3 linked regions of the Arabidopsis thaliana genome follow. The protein of the gene in region 3 interacts with the protein of the main gene of each other region in a pairwise test. Each region holds a gene or a part of one and is shown on either strand. Other genes may lie near its edges.

What was found.
Region 1: the proteins of KNAT5 (region 3) and RPL interact in a two-hybrid assay, tested with the Arabidopsis thaliana proteins (one large-scale study listed by BioGRID).
Region 2: the proteins of KNAT5 (region 3) and CIB5 interact in a two-hybrid assay, tested with the Arabidopsis thaliana proteins (one large-scale study listed by BioGRID).

What each region holds. Positions count from the first base shown.
Region 1 is NC_003076.8:392,886-401,591, reverse strand, and holds RPL (POX (plant homeobox) family protein), read right to left. Parts: upstream 6,026-8,706; 5' UTR 5,839-6,025; coding exon 5,119-5,838; intron 4,419-5,118; coding exon 4,018-4,418; intron 3,664-4,017; coding exon 3,603-3,663; intron 3,266-3,602; coding exon 2,720-3,265; 3' UTR 2,467-2,719; downstream 1-2,466. Other genes in the region: PRA1.A1 (prenylated RAB acceptor 1.A1), read right to left, coding at 25-65, 272-429.
Region 2 is NC_003070.9:9,083,779-9,091,841, forward strand, and holds CIB5 (cryptochrome-interacting basic-helix-loop-helix 5), read left to right. Parts: upstream 1-3,025; 5' UTR 3,026-3,435; coding exon 3,436-3,984; intron 3,985-4,057; coding exon 4,058-4,225; intron 4,226-4,310; coding exon 4,311-4,376; intron 4,377-4,477; coding exon 4,478-4,546; intron 4,547-4,656; coding exon 4,657-4,728; intron 4,729-4,816; coding exon 4,817-4,954; intron 4,955-5,058; coding exon 5,059-5,146; coding exon of another isoform or gene 5,147-5,184; exon of another isoform or gene 5,185-5,234; coding exon 5,235-5,257; 3' UTR 5,258-5,597; downstream 5,598-8,063. Other genes in the region: AT1G26250 (Proline-rich extensin-like family protein), read left to right, coding at 125-1,456; AT1G26255 (uncharacterized protein), read right to left, coding at 153-371, 546-698, 756-1,288, 1,343-1,460; AT1G26270 (Phosphatidylinositol 3- and 4-kinase family protein), read right to left, coding at 6,044-7,936. UniProt on the Arabidopsis thaliana protein: Transcriptional activator involved in cell elongation. Regulates the expression of a subset of genes involved in cell expansion by binding to the G-box motif.
Region 3 is NC_003075.7:15,490,292-15,498,224, forward strand, and holds KNAT5 (homeobox protein knotted-1-like 5), read left to right. Parts: upstream 1-3,697; 5' UTR 3,698-3,835; coding exon 3,836-4,378; intron 4,379-4,762; coding exon 4,763-4,883; intron 4,884-4,975; coding exon 4,976-5,175; intron 5,176-5,264; coding exon 5,265-5,396; intron 5,397-5,477; coding exon 5,478-5,617; coding exon of another isoform or gene 5,618-5,621; exon of another isoform or gene 5,622-5,702; coding exon 5,703-5,718; 3' UTR 5,719-6,090; downstream 6,091-7,933. Other genes in the region: AT4G32030 (uncharacterized protein), read left to right, coding at 612-995, 2,062-2,118, 2,214-2,276, 2,356-2,424, 2,528-2,716; AT4G32050 (neurochondrin family protein), read left to right, coding at 6,329-6,524, 6,662-6,812, 6,949-7,085, 7,265-7,368, 7,471-7,566, 7,838-7,931.

The sequences.
Region 1 (8,706 bases), on a different chromosome or scaffold from region 3:
TAGCCACTTCCTCACACCACATACCAAGTATAACGACGATCATGATGAAATAGTTTGTTCGGTAGCTGCATAAACAGATCATCATCACAGGTCAAAATTAAGCTCAATACAGAAACTAAGCTATCAAGACTCTGTGTTCTAACCAAAGTCTAAGAATTCTATGTTCAATTGGGACGAATTTGATTGGTAATTCTCAACGAGAGATTGATCACAACATCAGATCCGAATAGATATGAAATTGGCGAACAAGAAAGAGAGAGAGAGATCGTACTAGTAGAGATTGCACTTGAGGCGACTATCCCATTTAGGGACAGATTTAGGAACGGTGAACCTTGAGAAGAACTCAGACGGAGGACGCGGCGGAGACGACCAGTCAACTTCTCGGAGAGCATCGAAGAGATCATCAACCGTTACGTTTCCCCAATCCATAATCTCCGATCACAAAAACACAACACTTCTGATTCCACAATCCTTAGTTAACCTTATAAGAAAACAGGTACACAAATTCTCAATAGAATCGATCGATTGAGATCAAATTATCAAAGCTTCGTCGAAGAGAGAAACAGCGATTTCGTGCTTATATCGGAAAACTTGAAAAGTCTATAATGCTTTTTCTTTGCATTGGGGAAAGAGGAAGGAGAGAATCATCCTTCTTTTTGTCAAATGACGTTTCTGCCCTTTAGTCTGGTTTTCGTTAACCAAAGGGGTCCTGGACCAGATTTTATGTAATCCGGTTTTCGAATCTTTTAATCTAAACTTTGGTTTTCGTTGTATAAATTCCAAAACAAAACGCATCTAAACCGATCTAGATTGGAACGAAAGTCTGGGACTATGATTTGTAAAACGATTAATCATCTAAAAGTTTTAAAAGGAGGATCTCAAGCTCTAGATATAGGTAGGGGACAGGGAAAACAAAATATTACTGGCATAAAATCATATTTTAGACTATATGTATCAAATCATATCCCACTTCGAATGACTAGACCAAATTATGATTGATGGATATATTCTTCACTAAGATAACTAACCTGTTTCAAATGGATTTAATTCGATGCTTCTTCTTTCTCCAAAACCGTTAAAGCTAAGTGTTTTCTTGAGTAAGGAAGAGGTAAACTGTATCCCGAGGATTAAAAACTATACATTCGCATATGTATATGCTTAATTGGTTTTAAACCTCAGGATGCAGATTACCCGTTCATCATCAAGTACCTTCATCTTCTTCTTCGTGTTGTTGTTGTTTTATGTTAATGGTGAGAATATATATAGAGCTGGTGAAGCTTATAAAAATAGTAATGGTGCAAAAGAATTATACTTATTCCGAAGGTTTAATGCTTCTGGAACAAATACTCACACAGAAAGACAATATCTTTAGTTGTCCATGGTTTCTTATATGTTCTCATATTTATCTCTAGACTCTAGTTCAGCATATAGATAGACCAATATAAAAATATATGATATAACATGTACGGTTGACGTGGCTAGTGTCTAAGGTTGCCACTATATGTATTCATGAATAATTCAAGAACAAATCGAATAGTATCTCTATTGTTTTTAGAAATTTAACTAAAATTTTTACATGAAACGTGTGGAGAGTGTTTTTCCGCATCCACATAAAGGAGACGGATTGTGAGAGATCAAATCATGAGAAATTGATTCTTTGTAGTTTGTTCTTTAGGAGCCAATGATGGCACCTTCTTAAATTTATTTTTTACTTTGTACCTTTTTAATATACAAATAGTTTTTTGAAAAAATTATTTGACTGCTTTTATATTCTTCTCTCGGCTCATTACATGAACCTCTTCTCAATTATTGAATTTCATATAATTCAAAACATATTTGCTAATACAGTTTATGTTTACATCTTATTCTATATAGACATAATCCAAGAATATAAACAAAAATGGTGTAAACAAACAAAAAGGCTGAGAAATGGTTAGGATCGGAGAATAAATTCTACAAAGAAAAAGATTTACTTTTTTCCCATGAGAGGGAAAGGTTATGTATATATATATATATATATATATATATATATCTTTCTTGTTTTCCAAAAGCAAATGGAAAGTTATTTGAAGCAACAAAAGCACAATTTTATTTTCAATACTTTTGCTCTCATGTGATCTTCAAAAGCCAACGTATTAGTACACACTGAACATTAAACCGAACTCATTTGTTTTGTGTGTTTGAAATCGGCTCAAACTTCTTTTATGAGTAGAAGAATTCAACAATGTTGAGCGGATCGGAGTCAAAACTGCATCCGACTCAAAAAGATAACTCAAATAGTCTGAAATATTTCAAGGTTTAGGGTTTGAAAACATGTTGTTTAGTCAATGTTTACTATCAAGTAAAACAAGATAGTTCAAAATATAATATCAACGATCAATGATAAACATCTTAATCGCGTTCTTCAACGATAATTGTGACATACATAAAAAAAAAAAAAGCACCATGTTTTGAATCATGCCAAAATATTAAAACAATGATAGATGCCTTTTATATTTCACCAAGACATAGACAACTCTAAAGTCTAACCCATGTTTTTAACATTGGTTATTGAATCCAATTTCATTTCTTAAAAAGATAACATTTGTGAAAGTAAGCAAACAACAAAAAAAGAAGAAGAAACATTCTAATATACACATCATATGCATTTCAATTCCCCCATATCTTCTTATACATACCCAAACGTCAAACATATTTTTTCCTTTCCACACAAATAATCTCAACCTACAAAATCATGTAGAAACTGATGATTACTACCACCAATAAAATCTCTCCCAAACTGACGATTTTGCCCTTCATACCCACCACCACCATCGCCACTACCACCATCAAGCCCAAACCTCTGAGCAGTTGTCATCGGAAAAGGCTCCGGTAACCCAATCTGATGATGAAGCCCTAACGTCAAAGACACTCCTCCGTTTGTGCTGCTATTCATCACCGGCACATTCGACGACCCAATTCCATACGAGAAACCAACCGCACTACCGCCGCCGCTCCCACTGTTTACATAGCTGTTGTTGTTGTTTGTGCCATGAACGTCGTCGTTTCGTGCCCGTCTAGGCGGAGATGAGTTGTTAGGTCTTTGCTGTGCCGAGGACGAAGATGGGTTGTTGTTGCTGTTGTCAGGGAAGACGGTGGTGCTAGTACGTTCGTCTCTCCAAGAGGAAGAAGAAGATCTCTGAGATTGTCGAGTCTCCAGCATGTGAATCTCTTCCACCATCGGCTTCCAAACCCTAACTCTTGCGTTTATGAACCAATTCGATACCTAAAATAACATTTTACCATAATAAATTAATAACCCTCAAGCGATAGAAAATCCCTAAATTATTCATTATCACCAACGGATAAATTTTCAAAAACAAAAGTGTAACACTTATTCAAACCTAATAAACCAAATTATAACATAGTTACTATACTAATGATATATGTGAAAAGATTTAAAACATATAATTATTGTCCGACAACAGAAACTCATTTCATAAAAGCATATATTTATCTATGTGACTATGTGCATGCTTAATTAGCAAGAAATTTGTTAAATTGTGAACAAGAAAAGATGGAAAGAGAAAAAAGAAGAAGACTGAAGATATCAGAAGTGAAACCTGATTTCTGGAGAGACCTGTCTGCTTAGCCAGCATGAGTTTGTCTGTATCTGTTGGATAACTGCAACAAAAGACACAGACAACAACAATTTAATATATCATTGTATATACTAACATACACATATATATAGACACATAATTACGCTTGCAACACGACATCTCCAAGTTTGGGAAACAAACAAGCAGTCGACATGTCCCATCTAAAACATACTTCCAAGTAAAAATACACTTCGATACACACATATTTATTCACACTGACACACACATATAAAGCTATTGTTCACAAGCATATATATACAATTTGGTTCATGATCAATTAAACGTTTGCATTTAGTTTAATCAATTGTTGGAACCAAGTTCAAACTCGAATCCAACAACTTTCAAAAGCATTTATATGGCGAGAAGGGTTACTTACGGATGCAAGAAATGATCGAAGAGCCAAGCCCTTAGAACAGTAACAGCACGTTCGGGTAGGCCACGGTGCGGTCTCCAAACAGGAGCATGATGATCAGGAAATCCATGTCTTTGACCAGCAGAACATAAGCCTCTAGAACTATCACTTCCTCCAAATCTTAAAGAATCAGTCTTATTCTCAGAGTTCATCGGATGACCACATTGTTGTTGTTGTTGGATCTTGTTGTTGTGGCTGAATTGAAGCTGGTCCGTTATAGCATTCTTCAAACACTTGAAATGCTTAGACAATGCTTTCAAGGCTAAGTTAGCGTACGGAGCAGCGTGCCCGAGACCTGCAACGCATTCGAATGATCCCATCACAGCTTGTAGCTGCTCATAGTATTGCTTATACCTCTTGTAAACCTTCAAAACGTCACATGGAAATGTTTTTAGATTCCCCCACTTACATAATAAAATGGGTGATTATAAATTTATACATTATTTCCTCACTCAAAAAGTATGTTATATACCTCGGAATAAACTAATTAAAATCTTTAAGTCCCTAGCTTTAAGATCATATAATGCATATATTCCTTTCATAAAGAAGACGTTCTCTTTTTATCACTTAATGTTTATACCCCTAAGATTTGAAGAATCTAATTCACAAATTCAGATCAAGAGCTAAGGAAGCTCTATATAAAGTTACTTCCTCAAGATAATATTATCCTTACTTTAGTATAACCTTAAAATTCTATTAAAAATCAGCATGAAGATGGCAAGCTTGTAATTTATATAATGTATTAAAATGGACGCTATAACATCATCTATTCATGCAAAACGTAGGGAACATTAATTTAATTAACATATGGTATTATAATGAATTAAATAAAATATCATATAATTTTAAAATGGCTTTGAAGGAGTTTCATTTTCCAAGGAAGATCTTTTTAAGAGACATATCATTTAACACATTTTGTCTCCAATTCCAAAGGACACCGACCAAAAACTGTGAACATTTAACACAATAATTCACATACTTGTAAGAAAGTATAGACAATAATTAAAGAAAATTTACAGATTTCAATAATTTAAAGAGATTAGAATTGATCATGTTATTGTATACCTCGTCGAGCATGGAGATGAGTTTTGATTTTTTCTTTCCATTATCTCCTCCGCCGCCATCAGAAACACCGCAGAGATTCTCAACCGTCGGATCAAAAAGCAGAGAAGAATCATCGTCGTCGATGACTTTGTCGGTGTAAATCCCACGACCCACATTACAAAACTCATCAAGAAGCATCTGTGCTGGTTTCAAGAACCTTGATCCTTTAAGAATCGACGCGTAGCCCGTGAAAGGTCCGAGAGGACCAGAGCTTCTAGACGCGATGGTGACGGCGGCGGCGTTGGCTTCACCGGCAGATCTACAGAATCCGGAGTTAACAACACCGGGAACGACTAGATCGTAAGCGAGTCTAGGGTGAGAGGACAAAGATAGAGATAGAGGCTCGGGTTTGAAGACAAGAACGTCTCCGGAAGAAAGTCCGGCGTTAAAGGAATGATCTCCGGCGACGGCGACTGCGGTGGATGAAGAAGAAGAAGGGCCACCGAGAAATCCCATGAAATTACTGTAGCTAGGGTTAGATATGTGGTTGTTGTTGTTGTTGGAGTGAAAGCCACCGGCTGCGAGGAAATCGGAATCAGCGAGAGGAAAGACGCCACCTCCGCCGCCGGAGGAAGGAGGAGGAGGAGGGTGAAAGTGGAAGTGGGAATCGAGAGATGGAATACGAAGTTTGTCTCGCCGGCTTTGTTGAAGAACATGATAAGGCTCGTATGCATCAGCCATGGGAAAGGATGATGTCGATGAGATGCAGAAGAAGAAGAAGAAGAAGAAGAGAGAGAGAGAGTAACAGTGTAAGAGATAATGGCGAAACGAGAGGTTAAGAGAGAGAGAAGCTCTTTTGGTGTCTTTTTGAAGCACGATCAATATGTATATCAAATTTTTCTTTATATGACATATTTTGAAAACCTAAAATATAAAATATCTAATGTTTATAAGACTTGGAGGAATTTAGTATGAGCATTACAAATTTGGTCAAGATTCATCTTTTTGGTGTTTGTTACTAAAGCCAATTCAATGCTCTCTCATAGGTCATCCGTAGAATGGTGAATTAAGTTTAATGATTGCGTGGGATTTTAGTATTTTATATGGTTCTGTGAAATCGTGATTTAGTATTTACGTTATTACACGATTTCGTAAAACTGAAATTGAAAAGACATATTCTTTCTTGAATCATTTTTTCGTCTTAGCGTCCTACAATTTTTTTGTCATTTTTCACTACCTGTTTTGTAGTTTTCTCTTATTTTTGTTACATTTCGTTTTAGTCACACAACTGTTAAAAGTTAATCGTATATATACTGAAGTCCTAAAAATAAATCTCATTATTTTTTTTTAAAACGGGTATTTCAAACGATGGATACATAGTAACTCGATATACTTTCCTCATCATGCAAACAAATTCGATCTTTATAATATATATATATATATAAAATACTGATGAAAATCTTTAACAAAAAAAAATACTGATGAAAAGTGAAAAGTCCCGGGTTTGGTGGGAGAGGCTTTGGGGAATCAAGAGAAGGCGACCGGCTGTAACCGGTGACACTGGAACTGGTTCTTGTACAAAGTGTTCTGTGTCTCAGTCTTTCACATACGTACTGACATTTCTACAACTTTTAAGTCTTCTTTTTGTCGTTTTTCTTCTTTTCTTTTGCTGGAATAAATACCTTTTTACGCTTAAAATATTTAGTCACTCTATTTTTATTCGACAATCATACATTCACACTAATCTCCATAGTTGTAGGCTTGTAGCTATAGTACTAAAAGTAGGGATATCAAAATGGATAACCCAACTCTACTCAACTTATAATCAAATGAGTTTAAGAATAAATGAGTTATGGGTTGACCCAACTCATTTTGTTAAATGTGTTGGGTCAACCTATAACTCATTTAATTTAATGGTTTGAGATGTTAACCCATTTAAGTAATAATTTAATTAATTATTATTATAAAACAATAATAAATAATTATCATTATTAATTCATTATCATCAAACTTAAGATATTTACGGATTTTATTTTTTACAGGTTTACGTTTTAGGTACGGAAAATCACGGATTTACGTTTTGACAGGAAAATTATAGTTTTTTACGTTTTTGGCCGGAAAATGATGGGTTTACGTTTTTGGCTGGAAAATTTCGGGTTTAAGCTTTTCGGCGAAAAAATCTCGGATTTACGTTTTTGGCGGGAAAATCACGGATTTACGTTTTTGACGGAAAAATCATGGGTTTACGTTTTGGGCGAAAAAATAACGGATTTACGTTTTTGGCGGGAAAATCTCGGGTTTACGTTTTTGGCGGGAAAATCACGGGTTTACGTTTTTGGCGGGAAAATCACGGGTTTACATTTTTGGCGGGAAAATCACGGGTTTACGTTTTTGGTGGGAAAATTACGGGTTTACGTTTTTGGCGGGAAAATTAAGGGTTTACGTTTTTGGCGGGAAAATCACGGGTTTACGTTTTTGGCGAGAAAATCACGGGTTTATGTTTTTTGGTGGAAAAATTACGAATTTATTTTTTCTCAATTTCATCGCTTGTATATTTAAGAAATTTGGAAAAATATTAATTTTATTAAATTTGTTTAGATGTGTTGGTTAAACTTAAATTGGCATTGGTTTAGAGATTTTAGTTGGTTTAATTCAATTTTATAAAATTTGATGGGTTAATTGGGTAAACCATTGAAACCATTAACCATTACAACCCAACTCATTTTACTCATCAAACCAATTGACTCATTAACCCATTTGACTCATCAACTCATTTGAGTCAAAATTTTCAACTCATTAGGGTTCATGGGTTGAGTTGAGTTGAGTTGACCCATGAATTTTGACCTATTTTGACATCCCTAACTCAAAGCATGGATGGTATGGTATGACCCGTAAGATTATACATTGAGAACAATCAAATTCTGCAGTTCATATTATATAATTAGAGAAATCACAAAGATTTAAAAAGATGCCTAGATTAATTATGTTAACAAATTTATAGTCCATAAATTAATCAAAATTGTTGTGAATTGTGATCAACCATATTTTATTATAACTAGAACAATCACAATGATTAAAAAAGATGCATAGATTAATTATTGTATATAACATATTTATAGTCCCTAAATTAATCAAAATTGATGTGAATTCTTATCAACCATATATTTTATGTGTTGGATTACATACGTCTGTGAGAGTTATTTGTAATAATTTAAAAACCTAATAAATAATTTGTCACAAAAACAAAAGCGAATACCTTTGCAAAAAATATGTTATAAGATATGCCAGAATATGATTAAACCGGGAAAGTAATTTCGACTGTACTGTAATAATCGTGTTTGAAATAATCATTAGAGGATATTTCCGTTTGCATGGGAAATAATGGGACGTAAATCATTTGAAAAAATGTGTTTCGAATACTAAGCAATACTTTGCGTTACAATATTTTATATTATATAAAAGTATTTCCTCTTTTGGCTAAGATGGACCACAAAAATTGAAAAAGAACCAAGGCACTCCAATAAAGTATTACAGTAAATTAAAGTGCACGTAATTATTAGTTCTTCTCTTCTCTTCTTTTTTTTTTCTTTTTTCTTTTTACATTGCATC
Region 2 (8,063 bases), on a different chromosome or scaffold from region 3:
CAACCATACCAGTTGCAGTGATGACCGGCTATATAAACCGCTAGTTTGTAATTAACAACACATTCAAAAATAATTTGGTTAGAGAGTCTTAAACGAAACTAAGAGAGCACACAAGTTTCTCAACATGGCCAGTCCTAATTGGCCATCTTTACTTATGGTGGTCTTAGCCTTGTATTCCATGGTTGCGTATACAAGTGCTCAATACTCTCCAACACCAACACCGTATTCACCGCTTCCGCCATATGTTTACAACAGTCCTCCACCATATGTTTATAACTCTCCATCGCCTCCTCCATATGTTTACAAACCCCCTCCATATATCTACAGTTCTCCCCCACCACCTCCTTACGTCTATAGCTCCCCACCACCTCCTCCATATGTTTACAACTCTCCCCCACCACCTCCCTACGTCTATAGCTCCCCTCCACCTCCTCCATATGTTTACAAGTCTCCCCCACCACCTCCCTATGTCTACAGCTCCCCACCACCTCCTCCATATGTTTACAAGTCCCCGCCACCACCTCCTTATGTCTATAGCTCTCCACCACCTCCTCCTTATGTCTATAGTTCCCCACCACCACCACCATATGTTTATAAGTCTCCTCCACCACCTCCTTACGTCTATAGTCCTCCACCACCACCGCCATATGTCTACCAATCTCCTCCACCACCTCCTTACGTATATAGCTCTCCACCTCCTCCTCCTTATGTCTACAAGTCGCCTCCTCCACCACCTTACGTCTACTCTTCTCCACCACCACCTCCATATGTCTACAAATCTCCTCCACCTCCTCCTTATGTCTATAGCTCTCCACCACCTCCTCCATATGTTTACAAGTCTCCGCCACCACCTCCTTACGTCTACAGTTCTCCACCACCACCTCCATATGTCTACAAATCTCCACCACCGCCTCCTTATGTGTACAGCTCACCACCACCACCTCCTTATGTTTACAAATCTCCTCCACCACCTCCCTACGTCTATAGCTCGCCTCCACCACCTCCCTACGTATATAGCTCGCCACCACCACCTCCATATGTTTACAGCTCGCCACCGCCTCCTCCATATGTATATAAGTCTCCTCCACCACCTCCTTATGTCTATACTTCACCACCACCTCCTCCATATGTTTACAAGTCTCCTCCACCACCTCCATACGTCGATAGCTACTCACCACCACCGGCTCCATATGTTTATAAGCCTCCTCCATATGTTTACAAGCCTCCTCCATATGTCTATAACTACTCTCCACCGCCAGCTCCATATGTTTACAAACCTCCCCCATATGTCTATAGCTACTCTCCACCGCCGGCTCCATATGTTTACAAGCCTCCTCCATATGTCTATAGCTACTCTCCACCGCCGGCTCCATATGTTTACAAGCCTCCTCCATATGTCTATAGTTCGCCATCACCACCGCCTTACTATAGCTCTCCCTCTCCACCACTATACTAACCATTTACATACATGATGAAGCGAGACTCAAAGTAAGAGTGTATTTAATAAGTGTATCCACACGGTTTAAAAGCTTTCCCTTTCGAGACGTTGTCATTATAAGAAATGGAATTATGTGTGTACTTAAATATCTATGTGCATTTTCGCTTTGGCTTTTTGCTTTTGATGTTGTTTTTCCTTTGAAAAGACCAATGTTTTGTCTTCCATTTATAACTGTTGAATAAATTCAATATTTTTTAGACGATCGGGTAAATATATTGAACAAACGTTGTAGTAAAGATCATATGGAAGTTTCAAGAGTCAGTAGCTCAACCGTTTATATCTAAGAACATTTAAAGTTAGCGGTATGATGGATTTGAATACCGACTGTAATAAAACTAGTTTAAATTGTTATATATGGCCGAAATTTATATGGAAACTGAAACTTGAAAGCTTTAGTATATCTTAGTTTCTATCTTAATTAGTACATGTATTGTAAAGGTCAATACGAGGATTGATTGATTCATTTCAACAAGAATATAAAGCGAAAATTTCCTAATTATATATTTTAATATATGTATAGACTTAGTCTAGGGGCATGCAATTAACATTTTTGATCCGGCATGGATGGTTCTCAAATTGGTATTCTAAGTTGATCATCCTTAAATGGATATTAAAATATTTTCAAAGTCACGAATTCGAACACCAACGCCAAAATATGACTGAAAAACATTATAAATTTATCATAGCTTAGTTTCCATACAAGACAATAGATCCATAATTTTTGTTTAACTAGAAAATGTTATAAAAAAAAAACAAAGGTATGGGAGAAAAAAAAACACATCCAAAACCACTGTTTAGGTGGGCTTGTCTTCAGGACGGGCACCACAACTCACCAGTTTTGAGAATCACACGACCTAAAATCACACACAAAAATCTAGGAAGAAATGATAAAAGTAAAAGGTGTGGGTTGAATATTCTTAAAATATTTATTTAGGTCTTTAGCAATTGAAAGTCCCAAGGCCAACTAATTATGTCCTCGGCCCTCGTGCTCACCGGACCGTCCAGCAGCTCCCTCCTTCACTTTTGCATAATAGTTTAACAATTTAAGTGGTGTCAAAAAAAAAAACGATTACAGCTTGATATTGGGTTGATAGGTAAATCGTGATAAAACATACAACATTTTTCTAAGCACATATTAAGTTGATCTAATCTAAAATGATTCTTTTACTTTCATAGGAGCTAGCTCGACAATTACACGAGTTGTGCTATCTTTGGATGGGCATGCATGTAAATTACTCTTTTAGAATTCCAAAATTTGGACCTATGACACTACTCACTAGCCAAAAATCTCTAAGAATTGAGATTAATGTCTTCATTTTTTATTTGAGACGTTAATTTCATCGGATTTGTTAGGCTTCTTTTGTATGAAATCCTTAGTTTTGCATTTGACCATTTCTCAAAACACCCTAACATTTTTAATGTTCAGATCATGGCTGTGTTTAATGTTTATGTTTAATGATCATAAGCTCTGTTTTTAATGCAAGCGTGGGTATATGAATTCAGGAACTTTTTTTTTTTCATTCTTCTTAAACTCGTTTTTAACTCTCCATCTCTAAAAAGACCATCAACGCTCTTCTCTTTATTGCAGCAGAAACAGAACCCAGTTCAATAAAGCTTTTTGGTAAGAAAATTTGAAAGGAAAAGATATTTGAAAACTCGTAGAGAGAAAGTGGCACAGAATCTGAAATTCTGACACTTTTTACCACGAATAATGATTCTCTTTTGAAAAACATGACTCAATGTTTTCTTTATCTTTTTCTCTGAATTAAGGTTTGTTTGTACTTAAAGTATGCTCCTTTATCTACCGTTGACTGATTCTACTCTTTTATTCTCAACTTTTCTCTGATTTGCTCGTGTGTTTACTTCAATTCCTCAGTTCTTGTGTAGAAAGTTGAGTTTCATGTGATCAAAATTGGGGCTTTACTACTTTTAAGAGAATGAGTGACAAAGACGAGTTTGCCGCAAAGAAGAAGGATTTGGTCAATACGCCAGTGGATTTGTATCCTCCGGAGAATCCAATGTTGGGTCCTTCTCCGATGATGGATTCATTCAGAGAAACTCTTTGGCATGATGGTGGTTTCAATGTCCACACAGATGCAGACACTTCCTTTAGAGGTAATAATAATATTGATATACCTCTTGAAATGGGTTGGAATATGGCTCAGTTCCCTGCAGATTCAGGATTCATTGAGCGTGCTGCAAAGTTTTCTTTTTTTGGATGTGGTGAAATGATGATGAACCAACAACAATCATCTCTTGGAGTTCCAGATTCAACTGGCTTGTTTCTTCAAGATACACAGATTCCTAGTGGATCCAAACTAGATAATGGTCCTCTTACTGATGCATCTAAGTTAGTGAAAGAGAGATCGATTAATAATGTATCAGAGGATTCTCAATCTAGTGGAGGTAATGGTCATGATGATGCTAAGTGTGGGCAAACATCTTCCAAGGGGTTTAGTAGTAAGAAGAGGAAAAGAATTGGGAAGGTATAGAGATTTGTAGCACTCCTTTTGTATTTTGTGTTTTTTGGTCTTTCGTTGATAATATTTCTGTTGGTAGGATTGTGAAGAAGAAGAAGATAAAAAGCAAAAGGATGAGCAAAGTCCAACTTCAAATGCGAACAAGACAAACAGTGAGAAGCAACCTTCTGATTCTTTAAAGGATGGGTATATTCACATGAGGGCACGAAGAGGCCAGGCTACTAATAGTCACAGTCTTGCTGAAAGAGTAGGAACAATATTTTTTTGAAGTTGAATAGAAAGCAAATTTCTTTTGTTGTTGTATTTGAATTTGGTTAAACTTGTTATCGTAGGTAAGAAGAGAAAAAATCAGTGAAAGGATGAAGTTCTTGCAAGATCTTGTGCCAGGTTGCGACAAGGTAAGTCCTTTTCTTTTTAGATGTTGATGTCTACATGTAGAAGAATGGAAGCTGAAGCTGTTTTCTTTTCATATAAATGGGACATTGCATTTATTGTGTAGGTGACTGGTAAGGCAGTTATGCTCGATGAAATCATTAACTATGTGCAATCACTTCAATGCCAAATCGAGGTTTCCCTTTGTTTGCTTTGGGAATTTCCTATTTTCTTAGTGTCTGTTCTTGAGACTTCATTTAATTAGCAACCTCACTTTGTGTTAGTTACTTCTTCCATGCATTTCAGTTTTTATCGATGAAACTTTCGGCTGTGAATCCTGTGCTCGATTTTAACCTCGAAAGCCTCCTTGCAAAAGATGTAACATATGTTGAAACCCTTCTCTTTCTTATCATTTGACGAGTAACTTCATTGATATGATGTTGATGTCTTCTATATATTCATGCAGGCTCTTCAATCATCTGCACCGACATTTCCCCACAACATGTCGATGCTTTATCCTCCTGTATCGTATCTCTCTCAAACAGGATTCATGCAACCGAACATTTCCTCAATGTCGCTATTGAGTGGAGGATTAAAACGGCAGGTACATATATTTGGTTGCGCATTGTACTCCAACAATAAACATATCTTTGCAGAATCATTTCTTTCTCTTGCATTCATCTAATATTGTTAGTGAGTTTTGAACAGGAAACACATGGATATGAAAGTGATCACCACAATCTTGTCCACATGAACCATGAAACCGGCACTGCACCTGATCATGAAGATACAACAGGTGAAAGTAAAAGCCCTATAAGTTTCATACTTTTGTAACCAGATACTTGAAACTCGCTAAAGCTTTTCATGTTTATCTGATCTTACAGCTGACATGAAGGTGGAGCCGTAGATGTTTCTTCTTCACTTTGTACTCAGCTTTAGCTGCTGATATAGTGCGCCGCGGTCGAGAATTTTATTAACTTCGAACAGAAGAGTGAAAACGAAACAGAGGAGGAAGCAGATTTTGTCTTTGAAATATTGACAGCTCCCGGAGAAAGAGTCGAGAGTAAGAATCAACAATGTTGTGTAATGAATAGCTACTGTCTGCTTCTTTTGTAGCTATTGTCTGCTTCTTTTTTGTACATATAAATCCATGCAAGGGAAGAGGAATGTTAATTCAACACATGTGCACAACATGATCATCACATATGTACTTCAACTTGATCAATCGGAATTAGCTCTACTTGGCAACCAAATCTTCAAACACTAATAATGTCACGAATCCCTCACAATTTGATGAACGATTCAAACAGTGAAGCTAAATGTGGTGTACTCGATAGAAGCAGCCATTGGCATGATATAGAACGATTGACGGGTGATGATATGAAACAACAAAATGAAACAAAGCTCTCTAACTTTTCTTTTCTTTTCTTTTTTCCAAATCTACAAGTTATTTATATCACAAAAGATTTTAAGAAGTTAAAACAAAATGACAAACGAAACAAATGACTAATTTCTCTTCATCTCTCGAGACTCCTCCATACTAAAAGCTGAGAGTAACCAACGAATATTTACACTAAATCCATTCCACTCATATCTTCACCTTTACGCGTTTCCAACAATCCAGTCTAAGCAAAGCCCTTAGAAACACGACTTTACACGATCCTTTTATTCTTCTTCTTCTTCTTCAGTCTTCTCAAAACTGACAAGAAGTCCCCAGCCTCTGCCTCTGCTTCTGTCCTAAAGTTATCGACTTGCGCTTTTCAATGGCTGGATAAAGCAGCTCTTGATATTTCTCCAGGAAAATCGTCCACTCTTCTTCGCTCATATCCGACAGCTTCACAAAGCTTGTGCTTGATGGGATCTGTTCGTCTGCACTTCTGTGAGCAGATGATGCATATGCGCTCTCCACTCTTGCTCCTGGGTGTTTCTGATACTTCTGACTCTTCTCACCAAGAAGAGTGCTTTTGAGAGACATTGAAAGCTTAATCGTCGGCATTTTCTCTAGATCAGCTCTGTCATTCTCTTCCTCCTCTCTGTCTTCTTCTTCTTCTTCTTCCCCATCCTCTGTTGTTTCTTCCACCTTTGACAACTGACCACGAGCATTTCCAAACGTGAGTCCGAGTGGTAATGCTAGTTTTTTCGTACAATCAGTTACTTCCTCACAATCTATATCAAACTGGAATTCAATATCATTTCCCAAGTCTGATCTTGGGGACTCAGCGTCTTTCTCTCCTATCAAACTCATAGCCTCAAGACAAACCACTTCAATCTCACTCGGCTCCTCATCTCCAGGACGAACCTCTCTAGTCATCATCTCACCAATTTCAGCCAAACAAAGGCCATTAGCAGCAGCTTCCTTGAGAAAAATTGTGCAGAGAACTAGAACACGGAGACTGGCCTCTCGTACCATTGGAAGTTCCCTCCGCAGCATCTCACAATCTCCTAAAGGATCCAGATTTGCTATGTACTTCAGCTCATCTTCAGAGAATGGGATCGATGCCTGTGGCCAATGAATCCACTCAAAGTAAGGGTCCTCTAGAGTTTCAGGCAAGCAAAGACCATGATCGATTGGAACTAGCTCCACCTGGCCAAACATACCATCACCATCCAGTTTCTTGACCAAAAGGTTCCCTGAGTGCCTATCTGTATTTAAGATTCTGATGTCAAGAATCCCTATACGGTGTACAGCTGAAACAGGGAAATTTGATGTTCCGTGCTCGCTAGCATCATAATCATGAGGTATGAACTGCTGCAAGGAAGCAATCTTGCTCACCAACATCTTCTCCATAGGCTTGCTTGCCTTCACTCCATCGTTGACATTAAAGATAGAGTGAGTAATCTTCACAAGAGCAGTGGGAGGAACATTTGCAAAATGCTCCTTGTCGAGAAGATAAGCCGCAACTTCTCTGTAGCCTGTTTCCCCAACCCGTACTGAACGCTTCAACCCAGGTTGTCCAAGCGCCTTACCAACAAAACCTTTTGGGTTATTAGGAGCATAAGGCTCCTCATCAGTTGGTTTAACAATTGCAACACTCTCTCCACGGCTGTTCTTAAAGTAATAGGCCCCTCCAAGCCCACTATTAACAGCAACTGGATCAATGCCCTTCTTCACTGCTTTTGTAATATCCTTCGCCATTTGCCTCACGAAAGAGAAAGAAACAGAGTTCCCAAGAATTTCAATAGGACTGCTCTCATCTCTTCTCTGCTGAAGGTCAGCCCTCATTGGGGAAAGACACGGAGTCGATGAGCTCCTATGAAAGTTGTTCCGAGTTAGAAGAAGAGGAGAATCACTTCTAACAGCTGTAAGATCATTTTTAAGCACCAAATCCCCAAAGGTCAACGAGCTTTCCTCAATGGGGAAATTAAGAGCAACCTGCAACTTCCTTTTCACAGTGTGCGCGTTATCACTACGATCCAACTCCAACCCCAGTACACAACCAGTCTCTGTCTGAACAAAAACCCGCCTACGACCCACAGGTGTCTTCATTCCTACCTTGTTAAATTCACGAAATTCCCCATTCAGGGGACTCTTCACTAGTGCCACTGCCATTTGTGTCTTAATAGGACTGTCAAGCTTACGTGACATGAGTGTGGAGACAAAAAATCACAGCCTTTGCGACTATGGCTGCACAAGTTAGTTTCTTCCCACTTTCAATACAGGTGACTAGATCCAACACCAGATGTTAAACTGAAGAACTCTTTCAAACGGTGGA
Region 3 (7,933 bases):
CTACCTAACAAGGGAAAAAAAAGCAAAACGAAAAAGACGAACCCTAAAGTAATTTTGCCTATTTTTAAAAATTTATTCTTTTAATTTCAGCATTATGCCAAATTTATAATTTTGCGAGAGAATTTTAATTTGGGGAATCTTTACATATTTTTCACATACCCTTTCCCCACACAACTCAGTTTTTGGGTCCCACCTTTCCTTTCTTATTTTTTTTGTCATCACAAACAAACCATTGAGATAAAAAAATTAAATCCAAATCTGCAATCCATCCAGCCACAGACCCGATCTTGCATTTTCGCATCGACATTAAAATGGCAATAAAATAAATCATTTTTTTTTTCTTTTCGAAAAGAACAAAGAAAAATGAGAAAAGGAAGAAAAAAGAGATAGAGGAATAATTTAGAGGGAGCCTCGTATATAACACCATTCCCATCTCTCTCTCTCTCTTTCTCCTCTATTTCGATATTTCTTCTTCTTCTCCTTCTCTCTCCCTTCGTCATTATCTCTCTTCTGTAACTTCTCTTTCTTTCCCTCTCTCTCTTTCGCTGCTTCTCTTCTGTATCTGATTCCCTTTTTTACGGGAGCTGTAGATTTGAGTAGTGTAAGCGTCGATGAAGAAGGTTACATCGTCTAAGATTCCGGCCAAGGATGATTGGGTGGCTGTAGCGATAACTGACGACGATTTGGTCGTTGAGCTTCTTTTACGGCTGAAGCATGCCGGAACGGTAGTGTCGGATAATCCGGCGGTGATTCTCCCTCCGTTGCGGTGGGGAATCCGTCAACGACGGTCTCGTTCCTCAAGATTTGGTGGCGGCGGCGGCGTTCTCGTTTCCTTGAAGAAAGATGTCGATTCCGTTAGAGCCAGTCCGAAGACTCCTCTCTCGTGGAGCGGCGGATCTGGAAGTGGTGGCGGCTCTGCTTCTCCTTCCGCCGATGGATTCGAGGATAACAGTCGCCAAGCTAGCTGCTCTACATCTACAGGATCTGGATCTAAGGTAACTTTCTCTTTTCCCTATCGTGATTTTCAACTTTTGCCTCTCGATTTAGTCTTCTCTCTCTATCTTCTTTCTCTCAATTACGAATCCGGTAGCTCCGGAGAGATGGCAAATCCGTCATCTCGCTGGATAATCCGATTCCGATCTGGCCGATAAATCTGGATTTAGCCGTTCGTAATTGAGAAGATCCTTGGCCGTCTCTCTGTTTTTCTTCATTTTTTTTCCTAAAATCCATAAAGTTTAGCCTGACGTCATCTCTCGCACGCTTCAATTCTCACTAGAACGTATTTAGTCTGTTTTCTTCAACTTCTAACAAATTCACCGGAAAAAATTCCTCCGCCGTGATTCGCCGATGACACCGTCGGCCGGAGCCATCCTGCTTCTAGGTTAAATTCATCTAATCTCCAAAAAGTCAAAGCCACTTTAAGCTTAATTTCCTTGTTTTCTGCTCATTTTTTGTAATTAGAAAACTCTACTAATCTTCTGTAACAAAGCTTAATAAGAGACCTGTTTTTCTCGGTACGCATTGAACCGGATCTTGCGTGGCCGGTTAGATGTGGATTTTTAGAAATCGGTCAACTTTAATTTTGTCTTGAGGAATAATTAAAGCTCCTTTTAGATTTTGGGGGTAGTACAGCTTAACAGCTAGTTGGTCAAACGCGTCCGCGTTTTATTGAACGTTTTGATGCTCGAGACGGTAGCGTTTTGTGGGTTGAAAGTTGAAACGAGTAAAATGATCTTGTCGGAGAGATTGGTATCACGTGATCTTTAAAAGAGTGATGACGATAGATGACAATGCCCATGACACGGAATAATCATGATGTGGCATCAAATCCTCACTATAAAAATTCTTTCCCAATTATATATTTGAGATTTTTTAATTTTATGCTCTATTTGGTTTCTTCGATATATTTTTCTTACTTGTTTGAAATTTCTGTTGTGGGAAAAGAAACTTTTTACCGGTATGTTAAAATAAGATCTTGGGTATTGATTATAAAAGTAAAACAGTTGTCGTTATCTTCAGCCATTTAATAGTTGACTAATCAAATGCGTTTTTGTTTTGCAGGTTTTTCCCACAAACGAAATCACCAGTTGTTTCTCCAAGAGATTGAAGAAGAGGAAGGTAAATATAAAGTCTCCTTTTTGAATTTCAAGTACACACTCCAAAATTCAAATTTTATTGAGCTGATGGTTTTTTATTCTTTTAATATTTGGCAGTCATCTTTTGAGCTTAAAAATGAAGAGAACTTGAAGTTGAAGGAGAGACTTGACCTTGAAAAGGTAGATTTTCGTTGCTATTCTCTGTTTTATTATCATGGTTTTCATTGTATTCTTAAAAAAACCCAATATTTTTCCACAGGAGATTGCAAGTCTCCGAGCAACATTCGATGAACAAAACCTTAGGAACCAAAAGCTGAAGAGGATTAAGGTAACATTTAGATTCTCCCTAACCATCTTTACAGTAATCAGATATTCCAGATCCCTTCTCTCTATTTGCTGGTCTCATCGACTCTTGTGTTTTCTTGTTTCAGCTTGACTTAAACTCAGGCCGTGTCACAAACAAGAAACCTGTTGATTTGATTCGTAAATCACAACTCGAGCGGCTACAGGGATCAAAATCTTGCAAAACCAGTGACTCGCAAAATCAGGGGAGTTTCTTCGTCCTCCCTGATCTCAACATGGCGCCATCCGAGGAAGAGATATTGTACGGAACTAGCTAAAAACTGGCCTATATGAAGATTTGCGATCGAATTATAGTGAAGGGAAGAAGGGAGCTAGAGATGTCAACTAAGAAAAGTGAATGTAATAAGTGGTGTAATGAAACTCTCCCGTCACATTCTGGTTTTCCGTTTCCTTCTTTTTTTGGGGTAAAATGCTCAATTACTTCTTGATTTTTTCTTAGGAAGAGGGTGAAAATTAGGTTTTTACTTTTTACTCCCTCCCTCCCTCCCTCTCTGTTTTCTTTAATTTGATGTGTTAGAAGAAAAAATTTGTTTTAAATAGATGGTGTTATCAATTTTTAATGCAAAATTAACTACTTTTTTTTTTCTTTCTTTCTCTTTGTACCGATTTAAAAGCTTTTGTTGGAAATTGTAAAGAGGAAAAAGTAGGACAACTAATAGACTTTTTATGTTCCAAACATTTTCTTCTTCACTATTCTCCATACATTATTATATTAAAACCCTAGTTTCCGCTCAACTAATCCAAGACAAGAAGATCTATCAATCTCTTTGGACATTCATTTTTCTACTATTTAATTTGAATTTTTATAATATAAACTTGGGAGGTGTAATGCTATTGGTGGGTTGTCGGCGTGTTCATGGAAAAAGATTCGTTTTTAAATGCCCAATAAATTTGAGAAAAAATTGCCAACTTGTTTATGAGCTTATTTTCTTTTTCATGGATCCCAAGTCTTTTGTGTATAGAGATTAAAAAAAAATGACATTCCTTCATGTAAAAAAGAAAAAAATATCTGGGTTTTAAAAATATCTACAATGAGTTTAATGGTAAATATACTTATCATAATTTGGAGAATAAAGACCTAAAGAAGAAAATTACACTCTAGAACAGAAGTTTTGTAAGCAAATCATTGCTCACAAAACTTGTGAATTACAGAATTACAGGCTCTTGTAGGTTGAGTTATTTTATGCTTCATTTTGGTTACAGGCTTTATGTTGACATTAAAACAAAGAGATTGAAGTAGAGTCCAAAAAAAAAAAAAATATATATAAATATAAAATTCAAGATTAATTAAAAAATATTGGTCTTCAGAGAGATAAATAACTAGGGGAAAGAGAAAACAGTCTTCTCTTCTCCGATCCCAAAAACGCAGGAAAACAATGTCGTTTAACAGCTCCCACCTCCTTCCTCCACAAGAAGACCTTCCTCTCCGACACTTCACCGATCAATCACAGCAACCTCCGCCGCAGCGTCACTTCTCTGAAACACCTTCGCTTGTCACCGCCAGTTTCCTCAACCTCCCTACCACCCTTACCACTGCGGATTCCGATCTCGCTCCTCCGCACCGCAACGGAGACAATTCCGTTGCTGATACAAACCCACGCTGGCTCTCCTTTCATTCGGAGATGCAAAATACTGGAGAAGTACGTTCTGAAGTTATCGACGGAGTCAACGCCGATGGTGAAACGATACTCGGCGTTGTAGGAGGTGAAGATTGGCGGAGTGCTAGCTATAAGGCGGCGATTTTAAGACATCCGATGTACGAGCAGCTTCTTGCGGCTCACGTGGCTTGCCTTAGGGTTGCGACTCCCGTTGACCAGATTCCGAGGATCGATGCTCAGCTCAGTCAGTTGCATACCGTCGCCGCGAAATACTCCACTCTTGGTGTGGTTGTTGACAACAAGGAACTTGATCATTTCATGGTAAGTTTCACTTTCTAATTTTGCAAAATTTTAATGTTTTGAACTGTGAACGATTCAGCCATTTATTTCTCTTTGATTATCTGAGTATAGCAAATTCACATTTTTGTGTGGCTCATTGTTCCCGCTTCTCGAGTCTTGCAATCGATATGATCTTTGCTTCTACTTTTTTGGTTAGCTTGTAATTCGAATTATGAACTTTGTCTGACTCAAATAAGTTATATTTGTTGCATAAAGCTTCTTCTTTGATGACTAATAGTTTGTCTGATTCTTGCTGAAAAGGACTTTGCATGTCCAAGAGAAAGAAAGCATAATCTATTTTTTGTAACGTTCTGTTTGTATGTCTTATGGATTGGAATCTTACCTTTGATTATTATGTTGATGCAGTCACATTATGTTGTCTTGTTATGTTCATTTAAAGAACAACTCCAACACCACGTTTGTGTCCATGCAATGGAAGCCATTACGGCTTGTTGGGAGATTGAACAATCACTGCAATCCCTAACTGGTAACGTCCCAAATCATTTTTTTTTTTTGTTATTGTCTTCTTGCTTTATGTGTGTCTTGGTTTTATCGGTTTTTCTTTGTTCTGGTTTGTAGGAGTTTCTCCAAGTGAAAGTAATGGTAAGACAATGTCGGATGATGAAGATGATAATCAAGTAGAGAGCGAGGTGAACATGTTTGATGGAAGTTTGGACGGTTCAGATTGCTTGATGGGGTTTGGTCCTCTTGTTCCAACCGAGAGAGAGAGATCTTTGATGGAACGTGTGAAGAAAGAACTGAAGCATGAGCTTAAACAGGTAATTGCTTGATCAAGCTGCAATGGTACATCAAACTATACAAAACACATTGTTAAATCATGTTGCTCGGTTTCTTTTTTCCCCTGTAGGGTTTCAAAGAGAAGATTGTGGACATAAGAGAAGAGATAATGAGGAAGAGAAGGGCGGGAAAGTTGCCAGGAGATACGACTTCTGTACTCAAAGAATGGTGGCGAACTCACTCGAAATGGCCATACCCAACTGTAAACACCTTGGCCGAGAAGTTTTGTTACCACATTGTCAAAAGCAAGGTTTTAATTCGTGATTTGGTTTTGGAATTGCAGGAGGAAGATAAGGCAAAACTGGTTCAAGAAACCGGTTTGCAGTTGAAACAGATCAACAATTGGTTCATCAACCAGAGGAAAAGAAACTGGAACAGCAACTCTTCCACGTCATCTACTCTCACCAAGAACAAACGTAAACGGTAAAACAAGATCCGTTCTCTTTTTCAAATTGCGCAATTTCATTAAACCAACCCGGTCAAGATCTTCTTTTGTAACCAAACTCAGGACCGGGAAGTCGTAGGTGACATAGCGGCTAACTAGAGGATGGTTCTTTGCCATGTGAATTCTTGGGAACCGTATATGAAAGAAACGAATCCGGTTCTATGCTCGTACAGAGTGTGTTATTTGTATAGTGGATACCGGTTAGCCTATGAAACCGGATTCTGGAGTCCAAATTGTTGTTTGTAACGACTTAGTAGTTTTTGGAAGTGATCTGTTTCGTTGGTTTGCGTCTTGTAACGAACGCTTAAGCAAGTGTGGGTTTTTTCTTGTAAAGTGTCAATATGTTCGTTTGTAATGAATGTATCAAGCAATATTTATCATAATTAAACTAGCTTGAAATGTAGTATTACGATGTTGTTGTGTTCGTCTGATTTCTCTCACCGGTTGATGCATGGTTACGTTCGGCTCGGTTTTTATATGGTTCAATTTTTAATATATCGATAATTTTAAATGATTTCACTTGTATTATTAACAAAGCCCATTGGTATTTGGCCCAAAATCTGAATGCCGACTTAATGACTTGTTTCTTCTTCCTTCAGCTTCTCCAACGAACGGCTTTTGTTTTAGTTTTTTTTGCTTACCTTTCTCTCGACTTGGTCTACTTTTGTTACTCTTTGAGTTGGGTGATTATGGCAGCAGCACCACAGGAGGAACGATCTCCGTCGCTTGACGATTGCCTTAAGCTATTGAAAGGGGAGAGAGACGAGCAGAGGCTCGCCGGTCTACTTCTCGTCACCAAATTCTGTAAGAACGATGACATCGTTTCTCTCAACAAGGTCTACGAAGCCGTTGGTACTCACTTTCTCGACCGTCTTTTCCGTACTGGTAATCAAAACCCCGAATTATTGATCTTTGTCTCAGTAAATACTAATATCAATTTTGGGGTTTCTACAAAGTGTGAATTTTTTAGTTGAGATACTAAAGTTTGTTGCTCTGACTGGTTTCGATTTTTTGTTTTGCAGGTAGTGGCAGTGGCGATGGGGTTGATAATCGTGATGTGTATCTGCAGATATCTATCACTGTTCTTGCTGCATTCTGCCGTGTTCCGGAGATAGCTTCTTCAGAAGAGATGGTCTCCAGAATTCCCCTTATTCTCGAAGTAATGTCCAAAGGGTATGTTAGATCACCTGATTCTTGCATTTGCGACTTTCCATGAAGTTTTTTTTTTAATCAAGCTTTGCTTCTGTGTCTTCAACTTTTTGCATATTGTGATTGCCTAAAGTTAGGAAATTGGCTTTTGGAATTTCAGAATAACTACAAACATGCTCGAAGATTGCTATGAGCTTCTGTATTTGGTGTCCACGGCTTGTGAAGCTGGTCTCATGACTTTGATTAACTCTGGAGGCTTGAGAGTGATAGCTCCCCAGATGTCTGAGTTACCTGATGGTAATACATACTCTTTCATTGGGTTTACATTCTTTTGTTGTGTATATGATGCACATTAGATTCCATTGAATGCTATTTCGGATTGATTATATTTGGTGTCAAAGAAAACGTGCCATGTTGAGGTAGATGGATTTGATAATAGTTTTTCACTGGGAGCTAATGTGAGACATGTTATTCAGGTTCACATGCCATGGAGGTTGCTATAAAGATTCTGCAGTTATTGGTTAGTAAGCTTGATTGTGGGAGCATGACTATTGAACGCTTCTTAGAACTGTCTTTGGTGGTGAGTCTACTTACTTGGTTACTTTTTGTTTTCTTTTCGCAATACTTACTAAAGCTGCAATGCTGAAGTTGGACTCCAAACATAATGTTAACTTTTATTCAGATTGCTGCTGTTGCACGGCAGTTTGCGGTGTTGCATAATGCCCTGAAGTTTGAAGCACTCCATTTACTGTCTGCAGTCTTCTCGTCAGAGTATTCTGTGAGTTTTCACTTCTTAACTTCCTCCGGAAAAGTATCTATAGTTACTAGCATGATTTATGTAGATTTAATGCAGCTAAATTTTCAAAATTTCTGTCCATTGAAATTGGAAAAATTAAAGTTTTATTTTCCTTTACTTGGAGAAATACAGTTGCCTTCATCGTCTTGATGTTATTTAATATGCATGTTATGTTTCCATTGTAGAAGCTCTACATCTTTGTTTTGTGTGCTTATCTTTTTATATGTCTCTCATAGAAGTTCGTTATGCTTAGGAACTTCTTCATGAACCTCTTCGTTCCATGCCCGACAACAATTGGGCAGACTATATGCGCACAGGTGTTGTGGCAATTCTGCAGAACCGTGTGGGT